Linked DNA regions of Cricetulus griseus. The main gene of each other region encodes a partner of the protein of the gene in region 2 in a complex. Links are inferred from orthologs where the notes say so. Each region holds a gene or a part of one and is shown on either strand. Other genes may lie near its edges. The genes, in order: Bnip1, Stx7, Stx5 and Vti1b.

Region 1 (7,612 bases), on a different chromosome or scaffold from region 2:
AAGAAAATATAAAATGGAAACTTCCAGAACTAAACAGTTCCTGGGTTTTTAGTTGCATACAATCCTTAGTAGAAATCTTATGTTGTCCTACTCCACATTGCCTCTGACGGAGCCAATAGTCTACCCAGCATATGCTCTCTGTATAAGCAACAAAGCCACTATTCCCTTAGGAGCCTTCCCAGTCATAGACTGTTCTGTGCTACTGTGTAGAATTCAGTACTACTGGGGTGGTAGTTTCCATCATCCACTGTCACACACACACACACACACACACACACACACACACACAAACACACACACAAACACCTTTCCATTTATAGTGTACTCAGTAAGTCAGTCTGGTATATAGAGCCAATGCCACATACTTGGTCCCAAGATGATCTGTCCCTTCACAGTAGAAGTTTTAACTCTTGGTATCTGCTGCTCAAACAGATCTAAACAGAACTCTTTCCCTGGCAGCAGGGAAGGCCTTGTGCAGCTGCTGTAGGACCCCTCAGGGTTCAGAGTTCCCAGCATTTGTGAAGCTGGATGAAGGCTCAGTAATGAGCCCCATCCGCTACTCTGCATTTCCCTTTCTTTCAAACCTGCCCCTATGAGGACTACCACATCCACTGTGTGGGTGGAGAAGCTGTCACAGCAACATATGGCAATTTGCTCCGGACAATGTGGTTTGCACGTTTGAGTGCCAGTTCCAGCCTATGCTCACTTACTCTCTGCCTCTCAGGTCCTCCAGGGCTGTGAGAGGTGCAAGAAAAACTTCAAGTACAAGACCAGCCAAGCTGACAGCATGGGGGACACTGGCACCTCCAGGGCTAGTCTAGCTGGGAGCCTGGACCTGGCATGGAGAGAACTGAGGCACAGTTGGGCATCAGTAGCACTGGCTTCTCAATTCAGTCTGGACCTCAGAGAGAAGGGAGCCAGCAAGCTCCTCAGTCACCACGATGCCCCAGACTCTGCCAGGCTGGTGGGAGAAAAAGCTGTCTCAGCACTTTCAGATGCTGGTGTGGGCAGTTCCAATGGCGGCTATTTGCAGTTCCTCATGCAGACATCTCACTTCTGTTGCTGCTGGAGGAGTGTGTAAGCATTACAAGTACGTGTGTAATGTCTGGCAATGTCTAGGAATCAGCCTGTGGCAGCTGTTCCACACCTAATTTTCTTATTTATTTGTGTATATGCAGGGACGGACACATACATGCCACAGCTGCACAACTTCCTGGAGTTGGTTTTCTCCTTCCACCTGTGGGGCCTGTGGATGGAACTCAGATCATCAGAGTTATTGGCAAGTGCCTCTACCAGCTGAACTATCTCATTGGCCCGCAATAAATTAAAAAGAAAGAATTCATATGAGTGTTTGTATGTATGTGTATAAGAACACTATGTGCCTGCTTGGAATTGGAATTAGAGGTGGTTGGGAGGCCCCAAGTGGGTACTGGGGAATGAACCTTGGTCTTCTGAAAGAGCAGCAAGTGTTCTTTCTGACATCAGTAATTTCTTGTTGAATGAATAATTTAAGCTCACGTCCTAGGAGTTAGGACACGATGAAGCATGGACATTCCCAGTGGGATATCCTGTAAAACTAAGCATTTATCACTCCATTAAATAAATGAGGTTTATTCAGGGAACAGCCACGAACTGTCATCACCTTCCCTCCCACAGGCTCTTCTTTTCTCCACCAGATCTAGCATTTATGCCTCAGGACATGGAGGGAGGAGGTGCATCAAACCCCAGAGTTGAAATATTCCCTGTGGCAGCCACAGCACTTGCTAGCTGAGTGAACGTGGAGTGCCTCTGTCCTGAAGGCTTCGTTTTCCTCTATTCCACTGCCCTTTCCAAGCAGCTTCTTGCAGGAAACTGGGCTGCTGTGTTTCCCTCCACTGGCTGCACTGAGCAACAAGAGAAAACCTGAGGGGAGGAGCAGTCCAGTTTGGCGGCCCAGCCAGTCCTTGAGAGCCCAGTCCTGAATCGGGAGTGCAAAGGGCCACAGCTGGCAGCTCTCACAAAAATGGAAAAAGGCGCTTCTTCACAATATAAAGGACTGTAGCAAGGAACAGGGCCAGGGCAAGGAAGATGAGAAGTTTGTCTGTCAGTTCCCGGCGGTTGTATTTTGTGATGAGCTTCCGGCCCAGCTGGATGGTCCCTGACATGGACTTAAACTCTTCATTTGCATCCAGGAGAGTCCGTGAAGAGCTGACTGCAACAGAAGAGGAAGGAGCCTGATTCAGACTGTGCCACCTCAGCAACGAAGAGGATGCTGGCCATCTGACTTTCAACAAGGCCAGTGCTTGAGCCAGGCAGGTGAGATTTATTTTTATTATTGTTAGTTATGTGCATATCTGTGTGGGTCTAGGCACATGAAAGTTAGCATGCTAGGTACTGAACTTGGGTCCTCTCCAGGAGCAGTACTTGCTTTTAACCACTGAGCCACCTCTCCAACCCCCTTGTCATTTGCTTTAGACGTGTTGAACTGTTTTCATGGATAATGTATAGAGTAGATAGAGGATGAAGTAAGGGTAGAAATGAATCAAGGTGGCTGTGACAGCCATGAAAGCAAGGTGGGAAGTTCAAGAATTTACCAAACCTCGCCGTCTACTTTGGTTGACATGTGAAATCTTACAAAGAACAAACTCCTTTTCTGTTTCCTACAACTGAAGGGCCCTAGAGGAACAAATTCTCTACAAAGGAGCCATGGTGGGAAGGCATTTGGCAAGAATATGGCAGTCTCAAACAGCCTCCTCTGTGACCTCTGGCTAGGACATTTAAAGGAACTCACAGTAATGGTCTTGTCAGTGGTCCTAATTCCCAAACCTGTCTGGCAATACTAAGCCCACAAGCCAATGCTTAAAAACCAGACTCCTGAACCCCTTGCAAGCATCGATGACAGACCCCATCTCCAGAGAGACTGCCATTCCTGCTTTTCACATGAGCCTAGCAATGCTTCCTCAGGGGAGCACTGATGGCAGGAGGCATGTCAGCACAGCTGCATAGCTGGAGGAGACAAAGAGCAGCATCTACCCACCATCCTGTCCCCCCCCCCCCAAAGGACCAAACTGCCTTGCCATGTCCTGAGGCACAGTTTGGGTGTGCGCTCTGGAGCAGCTTCTCTCCTTACCTAGAGTCTGCATAGCCTCTTCACTCTGCTGCACCTGCTGTGACATCATCCTGCTGATCCCCATGAGGCTCTCTGTGATGGTGCTAGATGTCTGTGCCAAACTCTCTTTGGTAGTTTTCCTGAAAGTTCAGAGGAAGGAGCAATAACTACAAATCCTAGCTTGTAAAAAGCACCATCTTAACCTATCACATCAGTGCTCTTTCTGTTTGTGCTTTGAGATGGGGGTCTCACAATGTAGCTCAGCCTGGCCAAGAGGGCAGAATGTCCTCGTCTCAGTCCACCCCCCACCAGTGAGTGCTAGGATTACAGGTATGTACCACATAGCCAGCTAGCATATATTCCTTTCTTCTTCTTCTTCTTCTTCTTTTTTTTTTCAAGATAGGGTCTCACTATGTAGCCCTGGATGTCCTGGAACTGGCCCTGTAGACCAGGCTGGACTTGCTCACAAGGATCCACCTGCCTCTGCCTCCCAAATGCTGGGATTAAAGGCATGGGCTATTACTGCCAGCTTGCACATTCCTAAACCATCAGTGTGGCTAAGGATGTATGCTGAGCCCACGTTCTCAAGCCCTGCTGGGAGGAATGGAAACCATGCTGCTGTCTGTAAACCAATTTGCACTAAGTACAAAGAGATTAGAAATGTTCATTCACTCCCAGAGAACTTATTGAAGGAACTGGATGAAAACCTGCATTGATGCAGCATACGATACTGAAAAGGCAGAAATGCCAACACACCAACAGGACTGGTTAATAACATAGATATTATGCATGCACAGTTAAAAGAAGAGTCTTAAAAATTGTCAGGGAGGACTGGGAGTTAGCTCAGTGGTGGAGCATTTGCCCTTCATGCATGAGACCCCAGATTCAACTCCTACTACTACAAAAAACAAAACAAAAACAACAACAACAAAAAAAAATCGAGCAAACAAAATCCCAAAATCAAAAACCAATTTTAGTCAAATTTAGTCTGGGTTGGGGATGATTGGTTGATAGAGTGCTTGCCTAGTATGCACGAAGCCCTTGGGTAGGTCTCCAGAACCGCATAAACTTGGTGTGGAGATGCACACCTGTGAGATCTGAAGTTCAAGGCTATCCTCAGCTACACAGCAAGTTTGAACCAGATGGGGATGTATGACACCCAGTCGCAAAAAAAGAAAAAAAAAATACTTATGCATTAACATAAAGTACAAATGTTATGAAAACAAAAGGCCACCTCACATGGCGCTTAGATGTGTTATCAGAGCCCAAAGGGACAAAAGGAAGATACCTTTGCCTTAAGAGGTCTCCTCCCTGCATAAGTTCTGCTTTTTCCAGGTTGTCAATGGCAATTTTGCAGGTAAGATTGGCTTTCCGCCATGAGGTCTGGTTGCTGGAAGAAGAAGGGTCACACATGAGGTTCTGGTGTCACCACCAGGTTGCTTGGCCTAACCAGTCCACTCTCCCAGGTATGACTCAGAGTTCAACCTCATCCCTCTCCACTTCCTCTTCTTGGTAGCCCTGGTAACTACTTTAGCATAGGTTCTAATATCTCTCCTTTGAACCTCTGGAAAATGTTTCCAGAATGGTCTGTCACTATCCCTCTTCTGCTAGGCAGTTGGGAGACCAGGGAAATGGCACTCTACTAGACACAGACCCACAATGGCTTTATTGCCTGACAAGTGTCTTTGAGAACCATGACCTAGCATTCCTCCTCCATACCTAGTACTGGAACCATCACTTATACCTCTTGCAGTGGCTGTTAGAGTGGTTAAAATCCCAAAAGCCAACATTCCTCAACATTCCTCCAAGGCTTGCTATTTTTGTCTATTTGACACCAGTCACAGACACTACAAATATCACAGGGCACCCTGACTGGTGTGATTTATTCACATTCTTCACCTGCTCCTTTGTAAATGATGTCTCAAGTATAAGCAACACGAGATCAGCAATCCATTTTTCACTGACAAACAAGAAAAGCCAACCATATCCCTCTGACAATCAAATCCATGCTTTGGAACTCTCACACAGCAGCTCAAATCAACTGAGCTAAGCTCCAGACACACAAAATACTAGAACAGAGTGCTTAACTAATAGGGTAAATTTCTTTAAATTAAAAAAAAAAAAAGTATGTGTCTATGATTGGGGTGGGGGAGCATTCCGCAACACATGTGTGGAGGTCAGAGGACAATTTTGTGGAGCTGACTTTCTCCTTCCACCTTTTTTTTTTTCTTTTTCTTTTCTTTCTTAAGACAGGGCTTCTCTGTGTAGCCCTGGCTGTCCTGGAACTCCACTGTGTAGACCAGGCTTGGCCTTGAACTCAGAGATCCTCCTGCCTCTGTTTCCCAAGTGCTAGGATTAAAGGCACTCTTCAGCTGGGCTCTCAGATGCTGAACAGCACCTCCCAGCCCATTCCACACCTGCCATTTCAAACAGTTAACATCTTCAAACTGTACACAACAGTGTTCTGCAAGGCTCAGGGTTGCAGAGCTGAGCTCCTGGTCTTCAAGGAGCTCACATTTATTAGGGAGGAAAGTAAGCAAATACTATACAGCTTGGCAAACCTGGTAACCTGATAAACATATCTGCTGCTTCAACATGAATTTCCTGTTTTCTTTCCTCAGACCTTTAAAACCACACCAGGAATAGGAAAACAGGAAAAATGTTTTGTTTTAAGCCCACACTAAACTGACAGTGTTTGGTGCAATTTACCACACCACACACACACACAAACTCCCTGTGAGTTCATGCTTACAATCTGAGAACCTCTGGTGGCACAAAAAGCCATGGCCAATGAGCCAGGCACACTTGCACTACTCACTCCCATGTCTTTGTCAGTCACTCTTAACAGCTGAGTGTTATTCACACAGCTGCTGTTAGTAAGCCTGCAGCTGGAGAATAACTCAACTCAGAAATGAAACCACAAACAGTTGTGACAAGGAAAATGTATGGGAATTCTGACATAGCAGATACTACTGAAATGGCCTTGAACATCATGAGGCTGGGAAAGGTGTGTTTGTAATGACCCTTTTGGACTATAGGACAAAAGTACAACCTGAAGGGAGAAACAGTGATTCATGTTGCCAGAAAAAAAGTTATATTCCCTGGTTTAGAGACTAAGAAATGGCACATACTGCTTTATAATCAAAGACTAGCACACAACTGCAATGTCACCAAAATCTCAATTCTAACATAAACTTACATTCTGTGCATCATTCATTCAGATGATGCCACACTGAAAGCTAAACTATGGTCCATCTTGGGTAAGCAGGCTCACTTTCAATGAGCTTTCCTCATACTAATTATTCTTGAATAAAATTTACCCTGTATTACAAAAGTAATCATGTTCTTAAAAGTTTAATTTTTATTATTTTAATCCTGTGTGTGTGTGTGTGTGTGTGTGTGTGTGTGTGTGTGTGTGTGTGTGTGTGTGTGTGTGATCAGATCCCACTGGAGTTAAGAGTTACAGGCAGTTGTAAGCCATCTAACATGGATGGGTGCTAGGCACTGAACTCAGGTCCTCTAGAAGAGCAGTACACATTTGAAACTGCTGAGCCATCTCTCTAGCCCTGAAAAGTAATTGTATTTTTGTTTTCAACTATATAAAAAGTGGATGTGAGGGTGTAGCTACATTGGTGTGGTGCTTGCCTAGCATGCACAAAACCCTTGCTTTGATTTCTCAGCACCACATAAACATGCGGTGGCGGCACACGCCTGTAACCCCAGCACCTGGGAAGCAGAAGCAGGAGGAACAGAAATCCAAGGTCATCCTCAGCTACATGTTGAGTTTGAGGCCAACTTGGAAGACAAAAGACCCTGTCTTAAAAATAAACAACAGAACCAGGGCCATTGAGATGGCTCAGAGAGTAGAGGTGCTTGTGTGCAGGCCTGATGAGTGGAGTTTCATCCCTAGGTCTCCCCAAATGTCAGGAAAGGACCGACTCCACACACAGCTCCCACACTTACAAAATTTTAAGATACATGAATATACACAGTACAGCAGAAGGTTAATTCTGTAAACATATAAACACTGTGAGCACTATAAACACACATAGCTCCAAATGTCTATGCAGACTCTACTTGTCCCTCTTACCCCCTCCATTTGAGACTTACTAATCTAGAGAACTTCCGGCCTGTGTGTGTTAATAACACCACTACATCACCATTAAGCTAGGCTTATTAGACAAATACATGTGCAAGCCTCACGATTAGCCGGCAAGCCAGCAGAGGTGGCCATAAGCTACTCTGCCTACCTGAGCATCTGCTTTTTGTGGTTCTCCACTTCCTGAAGTAGAAGCTGCTTATCCGACTCCTTGTCTTGCTCCCTTGCTGACTGTTCCAGCTCCTTGGAGGGGAAAAGAGCTGTTAGCCAGAGTGCTTCTGTTTCTAGAAGGGACACACAAAAGCAACTGAAGCATCTTTTACCACAGATACTTGGGAGTGAGAGGGAGCATGTCCAAAACAACCAAATATCCATTTAAAGATATAGGCAAATTTACAAGAAAGAGAAGAAAATCTTGGCAGCCC
Region 2 (7,612 bases):
CACCTTTAATGCCAGCATTTGGGATGCAGAAGCAGGTGGATCTCTGAGTTCAAGGTCAGCCTGGTCTACACAGTGAGTTTCAGGACAGCCAGGGCTACATAGAGAAACTGTCTTAAAAATCAAAAATAAGGGGCTGGAGAGATGGCTCAGAGGTTAAGAGCACTGACTGCTCTTCCAGAGGTCCTGAGTTCAATTCCCAGAAACCACATGGTGGCTCACAACCATCCGTAATGAGATCTGGTGCCCTCTTCTGGCCTGGAGGCATACATGCAGACAGAATACTGTACACATGAATAAAAAAATCTTAAAAAAAAAAAAGAGAGAGAGAAGCAGATTGATTGGTAAACTGATTGATTGATTGGTAGGGTTACATGTGTCATGGTACAAGTGTGGAGGTCGGAGAAGTATTTGCAGGTCTACAGAGCAAGTTCCAGGATAGCCAGGGCTACATAAAGAAACAGTCTCAAAAATAAAAACAAACAAAAAAAATCAAAAAGAAAAAGAAAAAGAAAAAGGGGAGGATGGGAAACGAGGGCTTTCGAAAGGCTACCAAACAGGTCTCTCCGTATGTCGGGCTATCACTGTCCCACCAGAGACCACCATGGGACAGAGGGAGCACAGTTTACAGACAGCACTAGAAAAACCTCAATTGTTAAATTCACATATTTTTTTTCCTTCGATGGAAGAAACTGACACTGTTTTCCCTCCGGAAAGATGGGAATGGATATGTCAATAGTTGGTCATCTTTGCTATTCTGCAAAGCCGGCCCTCATCGAATCATCCAGAATTCTGAGCAACGTCTGTCAGTCAATAGAACCCATCTTTATGTGTATCACAAACCCTTCCTCCCTCAACCCCAGACGCTCTTTGGGAGGCCAGTACGGGACTGATCCAGCCCCCTGATCATGGATGCCAATGGGGAGGCCCCTGCACTCCTGGGAGCCTCTGGAGGTGGACTGGCGTTTTGCCCTGGTGGGTGGGGGGGACTTCGAGAGCCCATCCCACTTGAAGGGATGCGCTCTGTCTCTGGACACATGGGGAGGGGCCTAGGCCCAGCACAGGAAGATTTGGTGGATTTGGTGGAGCCCCGGTTGGGGGCCCTACCCTGCCTGGGGAGTGGCGGGTGGATGGGGTGGAGGGGGTAGGTTGGAGGTGGGGTAGAAGGAATGGGGGTGAGGGGAGGGAGAGGGAGAGGGGAAGTACATGTGAAACAAGCCTGTTCCCTAACTTGAATTAATAATAATAATAATAATAATAATAATAATAATAATAATAATAATGAAAAGAAAAAAAAACCCTTCCTCCCTATGCCCAGACTCCTGAGCACTGCTTCCCAGTCAATAGAACTCATTCTTGTGTGAAGGTCACAGGTGCTTTGCTAAAGAGATGTACTTTGATGTAGCCATGCCTGAAGCTTTGGTGTAATAATTCCCACATGGAAATTTTTTTTCCAAAGTTTTACTGTGTTTAAGTACGTGAAAACTTCTGGAATATCAGACTCCAGAAGTTTTTGATCCAGCACCGGCTAAGCTGTGCTGACCCAAGTTTTATTTGTACCTCACCTGGATGGTTTTCCTGCCTTCTGTGATGCTTGCTTCCCACAACAGGAAAAGTGTGGAGTAGTAGTCTCTTGCAAGCTTCATGATTTCCTATCTCTGTAGATTAATATGAGAATACACATGCCCAAACCAATTTTAAATTGACTGGCATGCTTCTGATCCTCCCCTCCCACAGAATTCTAAAGTCAGCCTATGCAACCACTTCAAGTCAAAACTCTAAGTTAAAAGAAAACGGATTACAGTTAATGTTACCTGATAATCTGCTGCTCTTGACAGCTGCTGGTTCGCCTGTTGAACGTGTACCTCTGCACTTTCTACATTGGCTTCTATGCTGTCTTTAAAATAAAATGCACATACACATAGAATTGTTAAACATGAACTGATGAGCCAATTATAAACCACCAAAATTCATTCAGCAGACATGTAAGGAAAACACGCAATCCAGATAATATACAAATGCATAAGCAAATGGCCTTAATCATATCTACATCTACTGGACACAACAAAAGTGCTGTCAATTTGCAAATGTCAGATCAGTGTCAGCACAAGCTCCTGTCAGTTTCTAACCCCAGAGCTTGCACTGCCTCAAGACCAATGTGCAAAACACATCAACCCTCTTCTCCCTAGGCCCAAAGACATTCGACATCACATAGAAAAAGTCTACCTCAAAGAACACTTCTCAAAGAACACTCTCCTCAGGACCAAGGAGGGGTCCAAACACATCCAGTCCTTTGTACGTTTATTTACTCAAACTACCCTGTTAGTTCTTAGTGTTCCTCGGCTTTGTATTTGATTCTGTTAAATACAACACACTTCAAATGATTCACATAAACACAGTGCTTTACCTACTTTGCATGGGACAGTGGACAACTTCACAGTAAGAATTTGATAATTGTATTCTGTTTTCATTAACCTAACTGCCGTGAAGTGTAGTCCCCACCCAGGACCCACAGGCCTTCACAGCAAACTGTAGACGCTATGCCTTTGATTTCAGAGGATCCCAATGAAACAGAAAGGAAGTGGTTTCTTGCTTGAAAGAGCTGCTGCAGGTAAACTGCAGGAAACTTGCTCCTACTGCCCAGAACACACCAGCAGGACTTACCAATCACATCTCCTTGCTCATGAATCATCATTCCCAAGTCTTTAAAGATTTCATTAATGTCCAAAATATCAGCCTAGGACCAAAAAAGCACACATTATACATTATTAGAAATTCAGTTCCCCACTCCCACAAATGAGGAAATTCAAAAGAAAAAGAAAGGAACACATTTATCCCCACTCATACATATATAAGCATGCAATTAGAAGTAATATATAATTTTGGAGAACATTGGAAAAATATACTACTATAAGCAATCCTAACAAAAGAGCTCCCAGATGGCTACTCGTTGTCGAGAGTAAACCTGTGACAGTTGCTTTATTAAGTGAACAAGATGGAAATTGGGGACTGATAATGGAGCAAGGCCATGGGGCACTAAGGCCAACCTGTTTTCTTGTCACAGGATATATTTTCTTAAAGAATATGGATATTATTATATTTCAATAAAAAATTCACCAGTTTGTCATCAGTTTGACAATTTCAATGAATAAGACATTATGTATAAGTGTAAAACCCTACATTAACAAATTTGAATACCCAACAGACTATAGTGAAATTTTAAATGTCATTAGTGGGTAAACAAATTATAAATTTATTGGCAAAAGAAATTACAGCTTTACTTTTCTTAATTATATACCTATTTCTTTTTCACCGATTAAAGACTTCATTTAACTGTGTAAGGAAGTTTGCACACCTATCGTGGCTTTAGTTTCCCTATCTGTAAAGTGTCATAGTTAGCAAGTGTAAGTAGCTTTTAAGAAGACAGAATGAGAAAATTAATAGTTATCCCAGTGCTTTGGCACATGGAAGACCTTGAGTGAACTGTAGCTACTGGTAACTATTATTAGCCCACTTTTTAGGGGCCAGATTGGTTCCACAAGAACTACAACTTAAGAAATCCTTCATCTCTGTAATACAAGAGACACCCAAAAAAAGCAGCACAGTTCTTTTAATGCTGTTGTAAAAGTCTTACTCATGGCGGGATGGTGTGTTCGGGCTGAAGGATGTCAGTTCCCCAGACTCCCTGGACAGATGAGTATTTCTAGAATGGTGTTTTCTCAACACTGAAAGAACTGTGGATGATTTAACACTGTGGATGGAATACGACCTCTCCCCCTACCACCAACAGCATCATTGCTTACACAGGAATTATTCCAAATTCTACAACTAGAAATTTCACCAAACTGACAGATGTTCTTAGAGTTTTCTTCCCCGGCATTATCCAGTTCTGTGAACATGCTCAAAGAACAGGGCAGCAGTGGGGCATGCCTGTAAGGCTTACTTCCAGCTGCCTGATTGAAGACTCTCTCTCATGAATAAGGCGTAGGTCATCTTCTGTAATTTCTTCATCTTGGACCTGCACTTGAGGCTGTGTTTGGCTATAAAAATAAATACAGAAGGAAGATGTCTTATCCACTACATGGGACATTTTGATCCTCAAGACCAGAATATTGCTCATTTTAAAAAGTGCTAAAATAGGTTAGGCATAGTGGTACATGCCTGTAATCCCAGCTGAGGCAGAAAGATCTGGAATTAGTTAGTCTTGGCTACACGGTGAATCCCCGGCTAGCCTGGACAAAACAGTGAGATCTTGCCTCCAAAAAACCTCAATAAACAAATAAAAACTTCTAAGTATAAATATTTATTTTATCCAAACTTTATCTCATTTTCATTATACTCATGATTTCATCATATATAGATTCAAGTTCACTTAAGTATTAAAAATTATACTTGCCAATTTCACATATAAATATTTTATTCTTAAAATTAAATAAATAAGTTTATTTGGGTGATCTATTTACATATTGCATTTAAAATAGTTTATAAATACTTAATTTTCCCAAATTTATTATTTCTCTACAAATAATAAGCTGTTTATGCAATAATATAACACAAGCTTTCATGAGTTCTGCTTCATGAAGTATAATAGATGAAACTTGAAAAATTATCTTTTGATTTACAAACTGTTTCTTTTTATTCTTACCTTTCCCAGGACACAAGATTCTTTTCTTTCAAGCTGTCTTCAGGAAAACCACCCTGAAAATTTTAGTTAAAAGACAGAAAGAAAGCAAGAATAAGGAAAAGCAAACAACACACAAATGTCCCCTTAAGATGGTGGATCTGTATTTTGGGTGGGTGTGTGTTCATGTGTGTGTGCATGCGTGTGAGTGTGTGTGTATGTGTATGCATACATATGGGTGTGTGCAGCTGCAATGGCAGCAGGAAAGGATAAGTTCTTGTTCTAATTTTCTAGGTCAACTAACTGCTTAAGTAGTGACAAAATAATAACTTAAACTGATGAGGATGGAATTCACTATTACAAGGACCAAATAATAAATATAATTTTACTGTCATTGTGAGTGAAATATCAGCTAATGGTGGATCCTGTAAGAATTAAAAACTAGACTAACACAAAAGTTTACTTTATCCTTTCCAGGCTCATATTCACTTTCCGAATCCCTTGGCACATGCCCTGAGTTCATCACCAAACCCTGGCACAAACCCAAGCACCAAGCCTCAAACCGACTTGCAATGAAAAGGCCACCTGGACTTGACCTTTAACCTTTGACAAGACAGGTTTTTCTGTTTTTATGGAGTCTGTACTTTGCTATTGCTCCACAAGGAGTAACTACAACAATACACAACATGAGTTTTCTTAAAACCTGGGGTGAGATCCCCTTAAATGGTCACAGATTTAAGAGTGTCACAGATCTCAACTTTATACATTAGGACGATGTCAATGCCACTCACAATACTCACCGATACCCTGGAGCTGGCTCTCACTCGAGCAACAAACTCTTTCTCTCTCTCAGCAGCTTGCCTCTGGGTCTTCTGAAAGTTTGTCAGTGATGTTGTGAATTCTGCCACTAATCGGTCCTTCTGTATCTTTCTTTGACGCTAGAGGAAAGGGAGAGACTGACTCAAACTGAGAAGCTCACCACATCTGCAGTAGTTGCTTCCAATTCTTTGGCTCTTTCTTTAATTCTAAAATCGCCACTCAGTCCCCAGTTACAGAAACCATCAGATGAACTCTCAGGAACCTTTATAATGGGTTCGAACCCTTGCGCTTTTATCTTGAGGCAAATGGCCCACTGTGCAGGATTTCTCACCTTAGACTTTAGTAGTGGCTGATAAGTGGGTCATGGTCTTAAGGAGAAATTTAGGTAATCCTCCTTTTAGGCAAATAAAACCTATACACTAAGCAAGCAAGAAGCTAACTTGTGCCCCTAGGCACATCTTGAGTATGTGCATGTGGGTGTGGGTGTGTGTGGGGGGGGCAATAGCCCTGCAAAGCCAGGATGCAATTACACCAGGAGGCATTTTCTCAGCACGTACTTAATTATGGGTCAGGGCAACTACATGGAAATAATTTCTGCTTTGTGCGACCACATGATACTACCTGAACAACTAAATATGGTTCTGAGTTCTGGTAACTAATCTCAAATTCAATGTTTTTGGTTGCCTAACTTCCTTTGTAGCATCGCCACTCAAAGATCTGGCCATGCATTTAATTTCTTTTACATTCAGTACATCAAAGCATGCATTGGAAAGCCTGGTACCTGTTCACTGGGGGTGGTGGGCAGTGATCCAAACTCTTTAATGTACTTATCTGTTTCTTTCGCAAGTTGGTTAGTATATTGCTGCTTCTGCTGCCTAAAGTGAAAAGAAAAAACAAAAAGAGAAACAGAAGGCACAAATACATTATTGTCAAAGAAAAACTCCACCACTTGTGTCAACCTTAGTAAATGGTTGTAGAAGAACTAGTCTTTTTGTCTGGGTATTTATAGTAACAAACTATAAACAGTGAAAGTACTCAGTTTTCTGAACATGTGGTCAATTTCTTCTGCCAAACCAAATCTTTAGGTTCTGTTTTTCTGATAAATACTAAGAACTATGACATAGAAGGGTCTTCATTACCTAAAATAACCACTCTTGGAGAAACATGAATTGTGATTACCTATAAGTATAGATCAATAGCTACAGATGAAAATGACTTCAGTGAGAAGGGCATGTAGTCAGGACAGTGATGGCGGTCTGGTCCTTTATATTTGAGAGACTGAAAATGTCTATAGCTCTTATCTGTGTCTCCCCTAGGACGTCATCTGAGAAAGAAAGACTATTTGTTTTTGTCCAGTGCCCAGGTGTGAGGTACATCTTGTATGTCTTATTTCTTTATGTGAATACTTATGTTCCACAAACACAAAGATGGAGGAGAAGTAGTGACAGTACAAATTTACTAGTTATTAAACTTGCTGTGGAAAATCTAACAGAGCTTCCTTATAAATAGACCTGAATACAAAAAAAATGGGGGAACTAAATTATACCTATACCTGTATTTTCCTAGATATCTTATAAAAAGAGTATGAATTTTAATGAAAAACCTTGATACTCAACAATATAATCTTGCATTAAAGGGATGCTTAGAAAAGACACCAAGGCCTCCCTTGTACATCCCTTATGTTACACATGAACTGCCAGTGAGGCTCACAATAAAAAGATGCTCAGATGCAGATGCCTGTATAGAGCTAGTGAAGAAGAAAAATAACCAGCTCACAGTTCTAGACACCAAATGCCCTTGCTTGGACGTGCTTCTCTAAGTTTCTGGAACAGGATAGTCAAAGTTCTCAAAATGCATGATCATGTCTATGGATTCAAAATTTCCACTGTTCGTGCCCCAAAACTAATGTGTCTATTTAGTATGAACTTCCATTGAATTGAATTTCAATGAATGTTTGTGTATTAGCTATGATTCACCCCAACACTTATTGTAGAGAAAAAATATGAACTACAGACAACTACAAATACTTCAAACTTCTTAAAAACATGAGTTTATATTCTGTATCTTTCCATATCTTCTTTGTACTTGTATTCTAGCTAATTGTTATATGGAGATAATGCTATGTGTGTGCATGTATGTTTGTGTGTACATATATATGTGTATGTGTGTTTGTGC
Region 3 (8,065 bases), on a different chromosome or scaffold from region 2:
TACTTGCTACTCTTAAAAGAGGACACAGGGGCTGGAGAGATGGCTCAGAGGTTAAGAGCACTGGCTGCTCTTCCAGAGGTCCCGAGTTCAATTCCCAGCAACCACATGATGGCTCACAACCATCTGTAATGAAATCTGGTGCCCTCTTCCCTCTTCTGAGATGCAAATAGAGGCAAATGTGCAAGTAGAACATTGTATATATAATAAATAAATAAAATCTTAAAAAAAAAAGAGGACATAGATTCAATTTCCAACAGGCATACGGTAGCTCAAAACCATCTGCAACTGCAGTTCTGGGGCATCCAATGCCCTCTTTAGCCTCCACAGGTATCAAGCATACCTGTAGTACAAACAGATACATGTACACAAAACACTCATATACATTTTTTTAAATTTTTTTTTAAGGCTGGTAGTACATGTTGTAATTTAAGCAGGACAAGGACTGGAGAGATAGCTCAGCGGTTAAGAGAACTGACTCGTCTTCCAGAGGTCCTGAGTTCAATTCCCAGCAACGACATGGTGGCTTACAACCGCCTTGAATGAGATCTGCATGCAGGCAAAAGACTGTATACATAATAAATAAAATCTTAAAAAAAAAAAGACTTAAAAAAAAAAAAAGAAAAGCAGCACAAGAGAGAAAGACGCCATGCAACAGGATTCAAGCAGAGAGGATTTTTATTAGGGAAAGGGATCATAAAAAGGGAAAGGGGAAGGAGGAGGGAGGAGACTGGCCTGCGGGGACAGAAGCAGCAGGAGAGGAAAGAGAGGCAGAGGGGCAGGGGTGTGTGTTTGGGGGGGTGGGAGGTGGTCAGAGCCCTTTTAAAAGGGAACATAGTGAATAGGCATAGGTGGTTCTCTTAGTGGCAGCAGCTGAGGGTGTGTCCTGTCAGGACACAATGGGCAGGCCAGCAGAACCCTGAATACTAACAGTCCATTCCTTTAATCCCAATACTTGGGAGGCAGAAGCAGGCAGTTCTATGATTTCAAGGTCAGCCTGGTCTACATAGTAAGACACTGTCTCCAAAAAAAAAAAAAAAAAAAAAATGAACAAAATAAAAAAATACCTCTATCCCCCTTTTCCTCTAATCCACCTGGAACCATTAGTAGCCCACATAGAACCCAACTGATTCCAATACAAACTTTGTTTTGTTTCCCAGTATATTCTAAATCTATCCACATTATCTCCATTTCTACCTCATATACCCTAACCATCTTCTCTACTCAAAAACCTCCAAGAGCCTCTTAAATGTGCCTTCTTTCTGGTCTGCCTTCCTATTACCTACTGCATTAATAGTGGCCAATGTGATCTTCAAAACCAAATTCAGGGTATTGTCATCCCTTTGCTTGACAATGTCCTAAGAGCTTATCACTCAATTTAGAACACAACCTAAATGCCTGAGCTGCTTTACACAGGCCTGCTGTTTGCACTGCCTAGTTCTCTCAGCCCTCTGCTTGTCTCACTGTTGGACGCTACCCACAGTGAGATCTTTCCTTTTTCCATGCTCATTTTCCACATTACATTCCCACTTTCTGGAATGCACTCCCACCAGATCACCAAATGGACTGCTTTTCTTCACTATCCAGACATTGCTCAAGTATCACCTCTTCAGCCAAACCAGCTTGGATCAACCAACCCAAGGTAGTCTCAGCCTTGAAAACCCAGTGTATATGACTGACAAAAGCAAACAGACAGTTGGTGGGGAGCACACCTTTAATCCCAGCACTCAGGAAGCACAGGCAGGCAGATCTCTATGAGTTCAAGGCCAGCCTGGTCTACAGAGGGAGTTCCAGGATAGCCAGGGCTACACAGAGAAACCCGGTCTTGAAACTGGCCCCCCATCCCCCAAAAGCAAACAAATGATCTCACAAGATCTGTGGGGCCGGTACTTTTACTATCTCTGCCTTAGTGTTAAGACAATGGCAACTCAGAAGTTAGAAGCTCACACAAAGTTACAACTTAAGTGGGTGACAAAGCAACTTCAAGTTTTTCAGAATCCAGTGGAAGAGTTCTTTATTTATTATGTATACAGCCTTTTGCCTTCATGTATTCCTGGGCACCAGATCTCAATATAGATGGTTGTAAATCACCTTGTGGTTGCTGGGAATTGAACTCAAGACCTCTGGAAGAACAGCCAATGCTCTTAACCTCTGAGCCATCTCTCCAGCCCCAGTGGATCTGTTCTTTGACCTCTGCCACCATATTTGTACTATACAGCCATACCAGTGGCTCCTTAACTTCTATCCCACCCAATCCATGTTCCAGATCAGACTCGACATATTACCCAGACACATGATTCTACACTTGTTATCAAGGTCCACAATGCTCTTTACAACTAGCCACTCAGTCAACAACCAACATCTTGCCAGTCATTCATTTGGGCAACCAACAATCAGGCCAGTCACTATTATAAACACTTGTAATACACCTGTGAACAAGAGGAAAGAAAAATCCTGGGCAGGCATAATGATACATCATATAATCCCTGTGCTTGGGAGGTTGAGGCAGGAAAATCACAAATTAACCACCACCATGTAGCCAGGAATGGTAGCATATGCCTTTAATTGCAGTACTCAGAAGACAAGAGACAGGCGGATCTCTAAGTTCAAGACTAACCTAGTCTATACAGCAAGTTCCAGAACAGCCAGGGATATACAGAGAAACCCTGACTTAAACAAAAATACCAGACTGGGCTATATATCTAGAGTCTTGAAACCAAAACAAAGAACCTGCTCCTGAGGTATCTGCAAATCTTTTGCCCTGCCCCTTTGTTTTTTCCTTCTCTTTTAGAAAAGTAGAAAGGATACAGGGAATGAAATCAAACAAACGTAAGGTAATTATAGAGAATAAACTTACAACTCTGGCTGTCCTGGAGCTCACTCTGTGGACCAGGCTGGCCTAGAACTCAGAGATCTGCCTGCCTTTGCCTCCAGAGTGCTGGGATTAAAGGTGTTCATCACTACTCTCAGCTGACCTTCCCCCTTTTCTAATCAACACCTCTGTAAATAAACTCCTCAGACTGGTAAGTCCTTCTATTTCCTCTATATAACCTCCGAATCCAGTTCAGATTTCATATCCTCTGTCAATCTTTCCCAGCATACTATTTCATTCATCTTTTTGTAAAATCTTTTCTATACTATCACTTACTCATTTTAAGCCTAGGCTCCTGATGCTGGGTAACTCTTAAGAAGAATGAACCCTTAAAGACAATAATCTTGCTTCTCATTTGTTCCATCAGCATACAGAACAGTACTTTACAAATGCTAGATGATCCTAAGTGTCTATGGACTCAGTGGAGGAGCAGGGTGTTTGGACATGGGTCTAGATACTTACCCTGGGGATTCATGGCGATGGAAAATGATGGAAGTAATCTAATTAGAATGCTGGGCTCTCCTGATGGCTAGCAGCTCACCTGTTTGATGATGTATGTTAGCTCCTCAATTTCTACTGCTTTATCATCAAAGAGGGACTTGCGCTTTGCCACTGCAGAGACAGATGAAGTGTTACAACAGGTGATGGTAATAACAAGGCTCAAAGGGCTAAGAATACAGTTCAGTGGTAGAGGCACTTGCTTTAATGCACAAAGTCCTAGTTTAAAATCCCCAGCACCATAGGAGAAAATAAAACAAAAACTGCACGATCCTCACTTCCTAGTACTATGTTTCACTGTCCCATCTAGGAAAGATCTACCAAACACTCACAGATTGTTAGCTTCTCCAGCTTGGCAAATGTATTGCTGAGATCTTTTCCAATGCGCCTGCAAATGATCATCAGTGAGAAGGCTGTGGTAAAGGGCAGGAAAGAGGCTAATTCCCATAAGCTCCAACACAACCAATCCCATTCAGCCTAACCAACACAGGCAAATTAACTTCCTAGACATTGTATTACCACCCCCCCCCAAAGACTCTCTTAACTCACTTGGCCATAAGGGTAAATTCACTGCGTTGTCTGGCAGCCCGTAGAGCTGGTTTATTTGTTTGGATTCCATTCTGAAAGGTAATGTCAAAAAGTGGATACTTTAGTTCTCTTCACTATTCATGCTCAGCTTTTCACTGCTCCCTCACATATCCACTAAACACTCCAGTGCTGTTGGCATCAGACAATCTAAATTTATCAGTGGTTTATAGCTAAGAAAAAAAAATTATATGTAGGTTTAAATCTTGACTCATCGTTCGTGGTATTTAATCTTTTCTTAATCCCTGCTGAAGACAATTCCTCCACTCCTATTGGTAAGATTCGCTAATCTTTGTTGTAAAGTAAATTTAGACAACTAGCAGACAAAACGTAAGCATTAATTAGGCTCACACCTGCCTTTCCACTCCAGGTCCTTACCTGACGGCTCTGCAGCGACTTACAGGCAGACAGGAACTCCTGGGTCCGATCCCGGCAGGACATGGTGTCGGGAGGGGAAGGGACCAGGGCCACCGGGGTGGGCAAAGGAGTGATGTCGCTGCTGCTACTGACAGCAGTTGCAGGGGACAGAACCTGTGTCTTTGAGAGACCCAGGTAGACACCCTGATCTGTGTTCTTAGATCCGTAGCGTTTCCGCGGGATCATCGAGTCGCATAACCTCGGACTGCTGTGGAGAGGAGAATGTCATTCTCCAGACAGCCTCGTTCCCCAAAGCTTTCCCCTCAACTAGCAAATCCTCAGGCCCTTTCCCGTATTTGACAGGCTTTCGAGCCCAAGGCCACCCGTAGATCTTGCAGCCCGGCCACGGCGAGAAGGGTCAGCTTCCTCCAGGCCCAAGGCGAAGCCTCCTCAGAATCTCCTTCCAACTTGGCTCTGACGGCCAAAGCACCGGCTGGGGCCCTAAAGTCGAGAAAACAGCCAAAGCCTGGTCCTGCGGCCCTGAGCCTCCAGCCAGACCTTTGCAGTTGGCCCAGATCTTAATCGTGCCCTCTGGTATACGTGACTTCCTTAACTCCCTCACGGAAAAACGGCAACCGACCTCCAAAGGTGGACACACTTCGGTGGGCGGAGGGGGGGAAAACCTCTTTAAGTGTTTATTTGAAACAGGAAGTCCCACCTCCATCAAAGTTCCGCCTGTTGGAAGACTGCAGCCACTGATTGGACAGGGCCGGCGTCTTTCTCAACAAGGCCTTTCCTGATTGGACAGCAAGGTATTCGCTTACGCGGAGCCGCCAGCAGGGCTTGCCCATGGCTCCCTTCTCCCCCCTCCCCCACCGTCAAGCCGCTGCCCCCGAGCTGAGACGACCGACAGAAACTGGCCCCCTACCCCAACGAAGCCCTACCTCCTCTGTTGCCTACCGCCGCCGCCACTGCCACTCTCTCCAGGCCGTCGCCGCCTCCTCGCTGGACTTGTAAGCCACCCAAATCGGAGCAAAGAGCAGGAGCCGCCACGTCACCCACACGTAACCCCACCCCCGTGACGTGATGCCGCGCCACGCCTATTTTTTTAAGCCCAGAGACAGGAAGAACACACCTCTGCCCTTGCATGCTCGACTCCGCTCTCCTATTGGTTAAACTGCCGCTGTGGCCCCGCCCCTGAAGAGCAGAAACAGATCCCAGAGGGCTGGGCCAGAGGAGTCTTAAAGAGCCAGCGCCTCGGCGCCTACAGATGTGGAGGCAGAGGCATGTTTTCGGCAGATCCACAATATTAATTTTATTCTCTGGATGTTGGGGAGGACGAGAGCAGGATTGGAGTCAGCCCTTTTCTGGTTCCTTGTGGCTTCCCTCACGTTTGCGCTCCTGGATCTGACTCTCCTGCTTTTGAGTCAGGTCTGAGAGCCTCTTGCTTGACCGTGAGGACCCCCGACGGCTGAACATGGATAGCCTGCGCCACAGCACGGTGATCAGAAGACTTTCGTTAGATCTTTGTTTGCGGCGGCCTGCGTTGTCCAAATTGACTTCGTTGTCTGCAAGGGCCACGAGGCCACTTAGTTCAGTTCTCCTCTCTAGTCCAGTCTCTTTAGGCCGTCCATTCTGGGCACCTCCCACTCCCATTCCCAATCCAGCTCCCTGACCCTTTTTTGAATCTGGGCCTACCTTGCCTACCTTCGTCGGTCACTTCCTCCCTTGCATGCTCATCAGAGGTCTGATGGTCCTTGTCTTGACAGCAGCCCATGGCCCCGAGAGGCGCAGGACTCTGCCACCCTCCCCAGCCTGCTTAGCTCTGGACCCAGCTTTTGTGACGTCAGGTCTCCCACAGCCCGGGTGAGGGAACCCCTCCCACCCACAAGCCACCTCTCCTTTCTCCCATCACAAAAGGTTCAGGGTCTCTGTGTGTGTTGGGCTGTTTATTAACAAAATAGCAAAAGTCTTCAAGGACTGGAGGATCCAGGCCGCTTCTTTTTTTTTCTTGTTTGGAGAGTCCCTTGTATCTGATTTAAATCAGGGAGCTTCCGCTTGGCATTTGCCTCCAAAGATGCCCAAAGTTCATCTGTCTCTGTGTCTTCTGGGGGTACCATGTTGGGCTCTTGAGGTTCTTGGGGCTCATCCTGATGAGTGAGAAAGAAACTCAGGAATCAGGGACAAGGAAAGAGATTGGCAGAAAAATAATTTCTCTGGACACCACTACTTTGACCTAGAAACCAGTGCAGTTGTGTTCTGGAGTCCCTCACCCTCAGCAATAAGGCTATACAGGGTAGAGCATCCCTCAGGGAAATTAGGTTACAGTAGAGAGACAGCCCTGGTCTATGTTCTAGCTGCCTCCCATTCTCTCCACAGAGAATCCCTCCCCATCATGCCTCTGGCTCCCAAATCCCTACACCTAACTAGTTGCTCACCTCCCAGTTATCCCTGCCTGACAGGAGGAGGCAGTTCAGTTGAGATTTGAGATAAACCTGTAAAATAAAAGGGGTCTTGAGCCCAGATGAGCAGAGACAGAAACTTGAATGTGGGGCACAGGGAGGGGGGAAAGTCTCCAGAAAAAGATGTTAGAGTGGGGGAATGCCAGAGGGATGGGCTCTCACCTTATGCTCTAGCCCACGTGGACTTCGGATCCTGTGTATCCTCAAGACTCTGTCCAAGCCACAAGAGGCTAATAGGGGCTTGGAAGGGTGGCACTGCAGGCCACGGACACTGCCTGCCAGCCCCTTCAGACAGCCCAGTAGACGTCCTAGAGAAGGGTGGAGGGAACAGTGTTAGCTACCTAGCCAGTGAACATTTACTTAGTTACCGTTCAAACCACTTATGTTTCCATACCTAATCCCCCTAGAAACAGGAGTTACCAGAGATATTCCAGTTTTATAGATGAGAAAGCAAAGGCACAGGGTCCAAGTAACTAGTCCAAGGTCTCAGTTTTTTGTTGAGACCAAACTTTAACCCAGGGCATGAATGTGGCACTGCCAGGACTCAGTGACTCCCTATACTACCTTTCTCTCTCTCCCTTCCCCTTCTCAAGTAACCCATTGTCCACTCACCTTGCCGAAAATCAATTTCTGCTAGTTGCCCATGAGTGTTTCCCACAATGACAGAACTATGGAAGAGACCAGAGAAGGGGCTCAGTACAACTTCTGGAGTCATTCCAGAGCAATTCCCCCTCCCCTCAACACTCACTTGCCCTCAGGAGTAAGGGTCATGGCTGTCAATGGGTACTCTCCATAGGTGGCCTCTAGGACTGGCCGTCGCTGGGGAGAGACTGGATCATAGACACGGACCTAGAGTAAGATTGAGGTATCACAAGAGTTTCTTTTTTCTTTTCTTTTCTTTTTGTTTTTTTGTTTTTGTTTTTGAGACAGGGTTTCTGTATGAAGCTCTGGCTATCTCCTGGAGTCCTGGAACTTGCTTTGTAGAACAGACTGGCCTTGAACTCACTGAGATCTGCCTGCCTCTTCCTCCCAAGTGCTGGGATAGAAGGCGTGTGCCACCACTGCCTGGCTCATGAGAATATCTTTACCCACACTGGTCTCCAGTATCTCCATATCTATCATCATCCTTCTGAAGACTGCTTATTATTTATTTAATTTTTTTTCTTTCAAGATAGGGTTTCTTTGCAAAGGTCTGGCTGTCCTGGAACTTGCTCTGTAGACCAGGCTAGCCTGGAACTCACAGAGATCCACCTTCATCTGCCTCCTAAGTGCTGGGATTAAAGGGATGCTTGGC
Region 4 (7,612 bases), on a different chromosome or scaffold from region 2:
ACCAGGCCTATGTGGTACAGAGACATATATACAGGCAAAATACCTATACACATTTTTTAAGAATAGAAAAATATGCCACTACATCTGAAATTACAATATGTTGATGACCCTGTAATGAATAAAGCAAGAGAGGGGGAGTGGCACAAATCAGATTCTTCAGAAATAAAACTAACGATTTCTAAATCTCACGGACAAAATTTCTTTTATGGTCTAGCATAGAGGCACACAACTTTAATCCTAGGAGGTAGGAAGATCAGTGAATTCCAGACCAGCAGCCAGGCTTAAACGAGACCCAGTTACAAATATATATACACATATGCACATTTTGTGTGTGTGTGGTATGTGCACATCTGTGGGAATGGAGGCGCCTTCCTTGGTTGCTCTCCACCTTACTAAGAAAGGCTCTTTCAATTAAACTTAGTCACACTGGCTGATCCAACAGTTTCTAATACTTATCCCCCAACTCTGGGGCTACAGATATATGAGCTGCTTTTATTGCATGACCCATCTCTATGGCCCATGGGAAATTATAAGGGGGGATTTCTTAGCCAAGCAATTTAAAAATTAAGTATAGTATTAGGCGGGGTATTCCCAAAATTCAGGCCTCCTGTAGTATCTGGCCTTTATATGGAGGACCCACATACTTCACACATTGCCCAGACTTACTCTATTCTTGGTACGTTCCAACTGGTCTCGCTGCTCCCCCAACTCTTCTATGATTTCTGTACCAATCTGGTCAGTTTCTGTGGCAATCCGATGAGAACGCTCAATGCTTTGGGTGGCCCGGTTCAGGCTTTCCGTGCCTTGTAGGAGCAATGCTCTTTGAGACTGTAGCCGATTCTGACAGGAGTAGGGAAGGGACATGTGAAACTTGTTTATTCCATTATAAATTTATTGTCAATATATTCTTTATGACCACCTTCTTGTGCAAAAGCAATATAGTGAGCAATCATTTCATTATGGTTTTTCCTTTATACCTGCAAGATACTGGTTCTAGGCCAATCTTTTTGAAGTCCCATATGTAAAATAGTATAGTATTTGCATATTAACATAGACATCCTCCCAATACATTAAATCATCTTTAGATTAATTATGCCTAATAAAAGGTAAATGCTATGTAAAGTTATTTTTGGCTCAAGAGAATCATGGCCAGATAAAAGTCAGATGTCCGGCATATAAGAGAGTTTTCAAAGATCTGTATGTGTGTACCAGGGTGCCATGGATGCTAGAAAACGGCACTGGCGCGCTCAACTAGAATTTTTTTGAGACAGGGTCTCACTGTGCAGTCCTGGCTGACCTGGAACTCACTATGTAGACCAGGCTGGTAGAATCAATATTTTTAATTTAATCCAAGGCTCAATATCCAGCTGCAGCAGGCACAAAGAGCTGGTCAGCTGTGCTTTTAAAATAGAATCAAAGATACTAATGAATTATAAGATCCTGTTCAAGGTCACAGACTACAGAGGCACATCCCACTGCCTGTTATACTTCTGTGACACAGAAGAGATTTAAAAAACAAATGAAATACCACTGGAGCATTTTCCCTGTGGACAAGTTGAAATCTATCATAAACATGGACTGGTTCGTTACTAGCAACTTCAGTCAGCACCCAAACTGGGCAACAGGATACAAAAATCACCTGATAATGCAAACAGCCTGCAACTTTAAAACTATTTGCTTAAATATATATATGTATATATTTTGAGACAGTCTTACTGTAATTCAAGCTGGCCTCAAACTCATGACCCTCTCAGCTCGACCTCCAAGTTCATGTCATTATGCCTGGCTACCCTTTAACTTCAATAGTGCCACAAGTAAACTAGCCTCTACAACTCTGGAAATGATTAGTTCGCTGAAGATGGGCTTGGCTGGTACTAAGGGCTTAGGGACCATATAAAGCATTCTTTCTTGGCAGAGACATTGCCACATTCTTATATTAAACAAAAAGCTTATGTTGGGGAACTTCCCCTCATGCCAAACAGCACTCTGACATGATCACACTGGTGATTTGTTCACAGGGAAGGTAGAATCTGGGCCACAAGCTTCTTAGCTGCCCTAACTCGTAGGAGCTCTAAATTTTTAAGAGTCCTCACTGAACTTTTCCTCCATCTACAATCCTAAACACAGCATGACCACAAAGCAGCCTAGGTCAGGCCAGCATTAGTAAGTACAGACAGGGATAGGTGCAGTACTAAGTTCTGACCTATTGGAAGCACACACAACCAAGAAGGGCTCAGCTCACAGAGCTTATTACAGAACAGTGGCAAACAGCACAAGATGTGCTTGTGCACGCATACAAAATAAAGAATGTAATAAACAAAGCAGGGGGCTGGACAGATGGCTCAGAGGTTAAGCCCATTCTCTAAGTGGTTCAAGATATGGGTTCTTGAAGTCCAATTTTATGTCTCAATCCTTTATGTTAGTAGCATTTTAGATGACTTTACGAGACTAGAGTGTCAGAATAGTCCTCCTGGGAAGCACCCTGTGTTTTTTCTCTATCAGTTTCAGAGCCATCTTGATATTAAGCTAACAAAGCTTATATTAATCTTGAAAAAAACACACACACACACACACAAAACAAAACGTCAGAAGGTTGAGATAGGGTTTTGTATTAGCTCAAGTAATCATCCTATCTCTGGCTAGAGAGATGGTTCAATAGTTAAGAACACTAGCTGGTCTTCCAGAGGTCCTGAGTTCAATTCCCAGAAACTACATGATGGCTCACAACCATATGTAATGAGATTTGGTGCCCTCTTGTGGCCTGCAAGGATACATGCAGACAGAATATTGTACACATAAAATCAATCTCAAAAACAAATGAAAACTTAAAACCTAACTGGATTTTGGGAATATATCTGAGAAAATGATTCTAAACTTTATATAAGTTCAGGAATTAGATCAATAGGTCAAGATGGAGTCTGACTAGGAAGAGTTTCTAGGTTTGCTAGAAACAAGTCCTGTTCTATATATGTATGCACACAAAAATCTAGGCAGACCCGCATTAAAAAGAGCGGGAGAGTGGGACTGGATGCAGGAAAGAGGTCAAGTGCAGGAAAATAAAAAACCAAGACTCCAGTATACACCGATGTAGCCGTCACCCATCTAGTTCGTGTACCACAGGCCCTTGTGGGGGATGTCACTACCACTGTTCATTCTTACCAAATGCTTACCACTTACCAAATGTTCGTTCTCTAAGGCATATGCACCATACTTCACATCTCCTCGGCCTCCAGGTGTGGCTGTCAAAGGTGTACTTCTCACCTCTCGGTGGAGTTTAGCAAGGTCCTTCCGGTAGTTTCGAAGCTTAGACATCATGGGGTTACGGAAAGTCAGGGGTGCATACCGTAGTTCTTCCTCCATCTCTGCTAGCTAGGATGGCAGAAAGGGATAAGTAGACAGCCTGGTTTTTCCCTAACCTGGGCATATGCTTAAACTTTACCACAGGCTACCCAAAATAGCAACTATATTTTTGTGGCACACAAACACCACATTCACTTTAAGTGCCTGAAATAGTTTCTAGTAGACACTCAAGGAAGTACGTTATGGGGTTGGAGAGACAGTAAAGTACTTGCTTTGCAAATATGAGGACCTAAATTCAATTTCCAGAATCTATGTAAGTAAAACTGGCCATGGCAGTGTACTTAGAATACCAGTGCTGGCTGGCCAGGAGAGTCTACTTGGCAAGTTCCAGGCTAGTGAGAGAACCTGTTTCAAAAAAGAATGAAGAAAACAAACAGCAAGGTGGGTGGAACCTGAAGAATGAGGTCACATGAATGTGATCCTCTTCCACATGTGTACTTCTTCCACAAACATCAATATGTCATGAATGTCCCAGTGGGAGAGTGCCTATCTACCAATCCCAAGCATGTGCAAGGACCTAGGCTCTATACCTAACACTGCAAATAAGTGCGCACGCGCGTGCACACTTGCACACACACGCATACACACTCTCCATGAAACAGACATCTGTGCTAAGTTCAACAAAGGTCAGTAACTGACCTCTGTGGCCAGCTTCAGGAAAGGGATGGGAATGCCTCTACTACTCATGTCAGGAGAGGCTAGTACTTCAGTAATCATCAAAAGTTGACCTATTTGTGTTTGTAAGCCTCCTCAACACCCATTCCCGTCAGTCAGCCTCATTTAATAAGTGTGATGGTGAGTTGTGCTAACTTGGCAGGATCTAGAATCACCTAGAAGACACATTTCTGGTCACACCTGTTATCTAGGGTAGCCTCTAGGGGATGATTTTGATTGCATACTCAAGGATGCAAAGGACTGCCCACTGTGGGTAGCACCATTCCCTACAGAGCATCCTGGACTGAGTGGAGAAAGGGAACTGAGCAGCAGCATGCATCACCATCACTGTGACGTGACCAGCTGATTCAAGTTCCTCCTACCTTGACTTGTCTACTACAATGGACTGTACCCTTGAAACGTGAGCCAGAACAAACCCTTTCTCCCTTAAGACACTTTTGCCAAAGTATTTTATACAATAATGAAAGAGAACCTAAGAGTTGCAAACAGTCAAAATCAAGATTAGTAGACAGGAAAAGGTTACCTGTTACGAAGTCATAGAATTTCTAGAAAAGACCAAAACCAAGTACAAGAAACAAGGACTTGCTCCCTGTCCTCACCGTTTCATTTGCTTCCTGTTGTTTTTCATCAAAATCTCTGACCAGCTTCTTCTTCTCTTCTAGAAAAGACAGGTGCATTTCAAACATTTATCACTGCTTCTGTGCATCTGCAGAGGTCATTCCCTGTGCTTAGAATAAGCTTACCATTGTTTTCTGGGTGGGATGGTAATACTTAACTCCCCCACCCCGCCCCTGCAAAGGCTTAGAAACATTTGGAGACTTGCTCTCACTGTGCCCCTGGGTACCCACTGCATTGGCATTTAGTACCCAGGGAACTGTTCCTGCTGAGGACAAAGTCTAACATAACAATTATTTGGTTCTAAAGCCAACAGCATCCCTATTACAGGTTTAAATTAACAATCATTTTTAACTTTTCCCCTGCCCATCCTCACAGAGGGCAGGCACTCTCTCAACAATATGAATATCTGCCAATACTGGGTTTCCAAAGTGAATGTATAACCACCACTATTCTGCAAAACAAACTCAAAATTCACCTGCTCTGCTCACTAGTGTGATATATCTCCCTCACCTATGGTGGCTTGGATAAAGACTTGACCATGGGATGGTCATTCTTTTCTCAGCCCTTTGCATGTCCCCTTAAGTGCTGCACTTGCTTGCTTGTTGTTTGTTTAAATTAGGCTCTCCCTAAGTTGGCCAGGCTGCCTTCAATTTTGCAATCCTCCTAGCTTAGTCTCCCAAATGCCAAAGTTATGGGTAAGTTCAACTATTCCTGGCTGGTTTTGTCTTCAACAGAAATTACTGATCTTCCATTTTAGCAATAAGAGAAAAAGCTTCAGTGTCAAAGTAAAAAAAAAAAAAAAAAACAAAAAAAAACCCAGCTAAATTAATAGTACTTCACCTTTACTATGTTTCTTCTGATCATCTGTAATGTGAAGATTTTCCACTTAAAACATACATTTCCTTTAAAGCTAACTGTATTAGACACATATTTTACATGAGTACACTGATACAGGAAGAATGTCTAAATAACAGTAAAAGCGGCATCTGGCATAGTAAAAATGACTAATGTACTTGAAATGCTGTCGCCTGGTAAACCTTTGTAGGGGGGAGAGCACTGGTTAGTCAAGGGGATTAGGTTCTGGAACCAGTATCGGACCTCCCTTAACAGGAAAGTATGGCAATTTTCTTCATTTCTATGGCTATAAAACAAGGAAGCAGATCATCCCTTCTTATATAACAAGCAGCACTCAGCTTTATTTGTGAAGAATTTGAATTTTTAAAAATGTATGCATTCACTGGGTACGGTGGCTCACACCTTTAAGACCATGCAGAGGCTAGTGGACCTTTTGAGTTTGAGGCCAACCTAGTCTACACTGTGAGTTCCAGAGCTACAAAAACACAACACAACAAAACATTCAACTGAATGAGATACCTGAGGAAACATACACATAATCTACTTACTACAAAGTTATCATTGCAGTTTTTGATCTCTTTTTTTTTTTCTCTTTTGAGACAGGGTCTTCTATAATTCAAAACTTACCACTTGCTTTGTAGCCAAGCATGACCCTCAACTTTTGATCCTCTTGCCACCACCACCCAACTCACTATCTACTATGACCACCCACTGTTGTTTGATACTCCCTTAACACAAGGCACTGCCAGGACAGAACAAAACCCCCAAACAAAACCCAAGGATCCATTAATTAACAACAATAAAAACAAGGAATGGTTTAGCCCTGGCAAATGGTGCACACATCTTGACTATATTCGATGTAACTGAGATGGACACCAGAGCATGTTACTATTCCTGAGGGCCTGTGCTCTGAGCCACCAATAATGAAAAAAGTAAGACTTGTGGTTAAGAATGGCCACTTACACAGCAACAATGTACTCTTTTGTAATCATGTGTCACTACTCCTATGACAGAGCCTATCTCCAAACTCAAGCACACCCTCTTCGTGACCCAAGCTAGAAAGCACATGGCAGCAGTATTGTATACACGCCTGGATACCTTCCCTAGCTTGGATCTTTCTAGAACTGTGTTATTCTTTATTCTGCCTTTGTTAAAGGATTTGAAAATTTACACTCAAGAAGCAAATTCTAGAACAACTCAAGAAAGTGAAAGTGGTGGGGAGAGGTAGCAGTTGGATGAAGGGATATGCTTTCAGCAATGTTTCTACGTCATGGTATTTTCACTCTGGAGCTGTAATTCTGTCTGATTGTATAAAACCCAAGTGTCCTATTGTGAGTGCTCTACAGCTTATATACTATACTTCTAGGAAATGCATTACCTTTCAAAATTGAGCTTCATGTTTCTGCTCCTTTATGAAGTCTGAGATTTAGAGCAAAGGGGAGGCCTAAGAAACCATTCCTTCCTGGGGAAGAAGCTAGAAGAAGCTCTTCCCAGCCTTGGCTCCAAGATAACCAAAAAAGTAACAAGTCACAACAAAAAGGGCCACAATCATGCACAGGCAATTCACTGTATGAACTTCGACAAGTGTGTGTTCAAGGATGAGCCATTAAGTTTGGAACATGAAGGCTGCTGTGGTCAGAGGTATTTTCAAAGTGCCAGTCTATGTTCTTCCCAAGCTCTATGTCCAGCTGCATTGCTATGGGAGCTGTGCCTCATAGCAAGGGAGTCAGGAATCAATCTTGTGAAGCCAGAAGACATAACACCCCCACCATGTCAACTTTGAGGCTTTTTGTGCTGTCTTTTTGTGCTTTAGTTTACATTACAGCTAGGATGGATCTCAGAGATTATCAACTTCACTTTACAATTCTAGAAACTAGAACCTGGACAGCTAAGCATTTTCCCTAAGTGGTGTGGACAGCATAGTGACCACTGCTGCTTAACAAAGTTCCAGTATTTAAACATTGCAGACCACACTTCTCCAGCACCTTTTATTTTTAATCATTCTCACTACTAATGGCTTTCCTTTTGGGAAATTTTGTGAAGGATATAAATGTGTACAATGGTAGCCTCTCTAAACAAAATCAACTCTTTGAAAAAAAATTGC

The links.
Region 1: Stx7 (region 2) and Bnip1 share a complex: the UniProt entries of both Homo sapiens proteins name them as parts of the SNARE complex. The link is inferred for Cricetulus griseus from reciprocal best matches to the Homo sapiens genes STX7 and BNIP1.
Region 3: Stx7 (region 2) and Stx5 share a complex: the UniProt entries of both Homo sapiens proteins name them as parts of the SNARE complex. The link is inferred for Cricetulus griseus from reciprocal best matches to the Homo sapiens genes STX7 and STX5.
Region 4: Stx7 (region 2) and Vti1b share a complex: the UniProt entries of both Homo sapiens proteins name them as parts of the SNARE complex. The link is inferred for Cricetulus griseus from reciprocal best matches to the Homo sapiens genes STX7 and VTI1B.

What each region holds. Positions count from the first base shown.
Region 1 is NC_048600.1:47,010,109-47,017,720, forward strand, and holds the end of Bnip1 (vesicle transport protein SEC20), read right to left. Parts: intron 7,472-7,612; coding exon of another isoform or gene 7,431-7,471; coding exon 7,339-7,430; intron 4,479-7,338; coding exon 4,377-4,478; intron 3,229-4,376; coding exon 3,110-3,228; intron 2,192-3,109; coding exon 1,995-2,191; 3' UTR 1,592-1,994; downstream 1-1,591. UniProt on the Homo sapiens protein: As part of a SNARE complex may be involved in endoplasmic reticulum membranes fusion and be required for the maintenance of endoplasmic reticulum organization. Also plays a role in apoptosis.
Region 2 is NC_048595.1:243,390,513-243,398,124, reverse strand, and holds part of Stx7 (syntaxin-7), read right to left. Parts: intron 6,313-7,612; coding exon 6,219-6,312; intron 5,557-6,218; coding exon 5,419-5,556; intron 4,696-5,418; coding exon 4,643-4,695; intron 4,038-4,642; coding exon 3,941-4,037; intron 2,735-3,940; coding exon 2,662-2,734; intron 1,895-2,661; coding exon 1,812-1,894; intron 1-1,811. UniProt on the Homo sapiens protein: May be involved in protein trafficking from the plasma membrane to the early endosome (EE) as well as in homotypic fusion of endocytic organelles. Mediates the endocytic trafficking from early endosomes to late endosomes and lysosomes.
Region 3 is NC_048596.1:51,352,980-51,361,044, forward strand, and holds the start of Stx5 (syntaxin-5), read right to left. Parts: upstream 5,400-8,065; 5' UTR 5,254-5,399; intron 5,087-5,253; exon of another isoform or gene 4,578-5,086; 5' UTR 4,556-4,577; coding exon 4,331-4,555; intron 3,988-4,330; coding exon 3,917-3,987; intron 3,756-3,916; coding exon 3,700-3,755; intron 3,482-3,699; coding exon 3,411-3,481; intron 1-3,410. Other genes in the region: testis-expressed protein 54-like, read right to left, coding at 5,666-5,877, 6,008-6,086; Wdr74 (WD repeat-containing protein 74), read right to left, coding at 6,283-6,459, 6,748-6,804, 6,934-7,079, 7,384-7,439, 7,520-7,620. UniProt on the Homo sapiens protein: Mediates endoplasmic reticulum to Golgi transport.
Region 4 is NC_048598.1:124,465,352-124,472,963, reverse strand, and holds part of Vti1b (vesicle transport through interaction with t-SNAREs homolog 1B), read right to left. Parts: intron 4,694-7,612; coding exon 4,635-4,693; intron 3,370-4,634; coding exon 3,178-3,369; intron 841-3,177; coding exon 667-840; intron 1-666. UniProt on the Homo sapiens protein: V-SNARE that mediates vesicle transport pathways through interactions with t-SNAREs on the target membrane. These interactions are proposed to mediate aspects of the specificity of vesicle trafficking and to promote fusion of the lipid bilayers.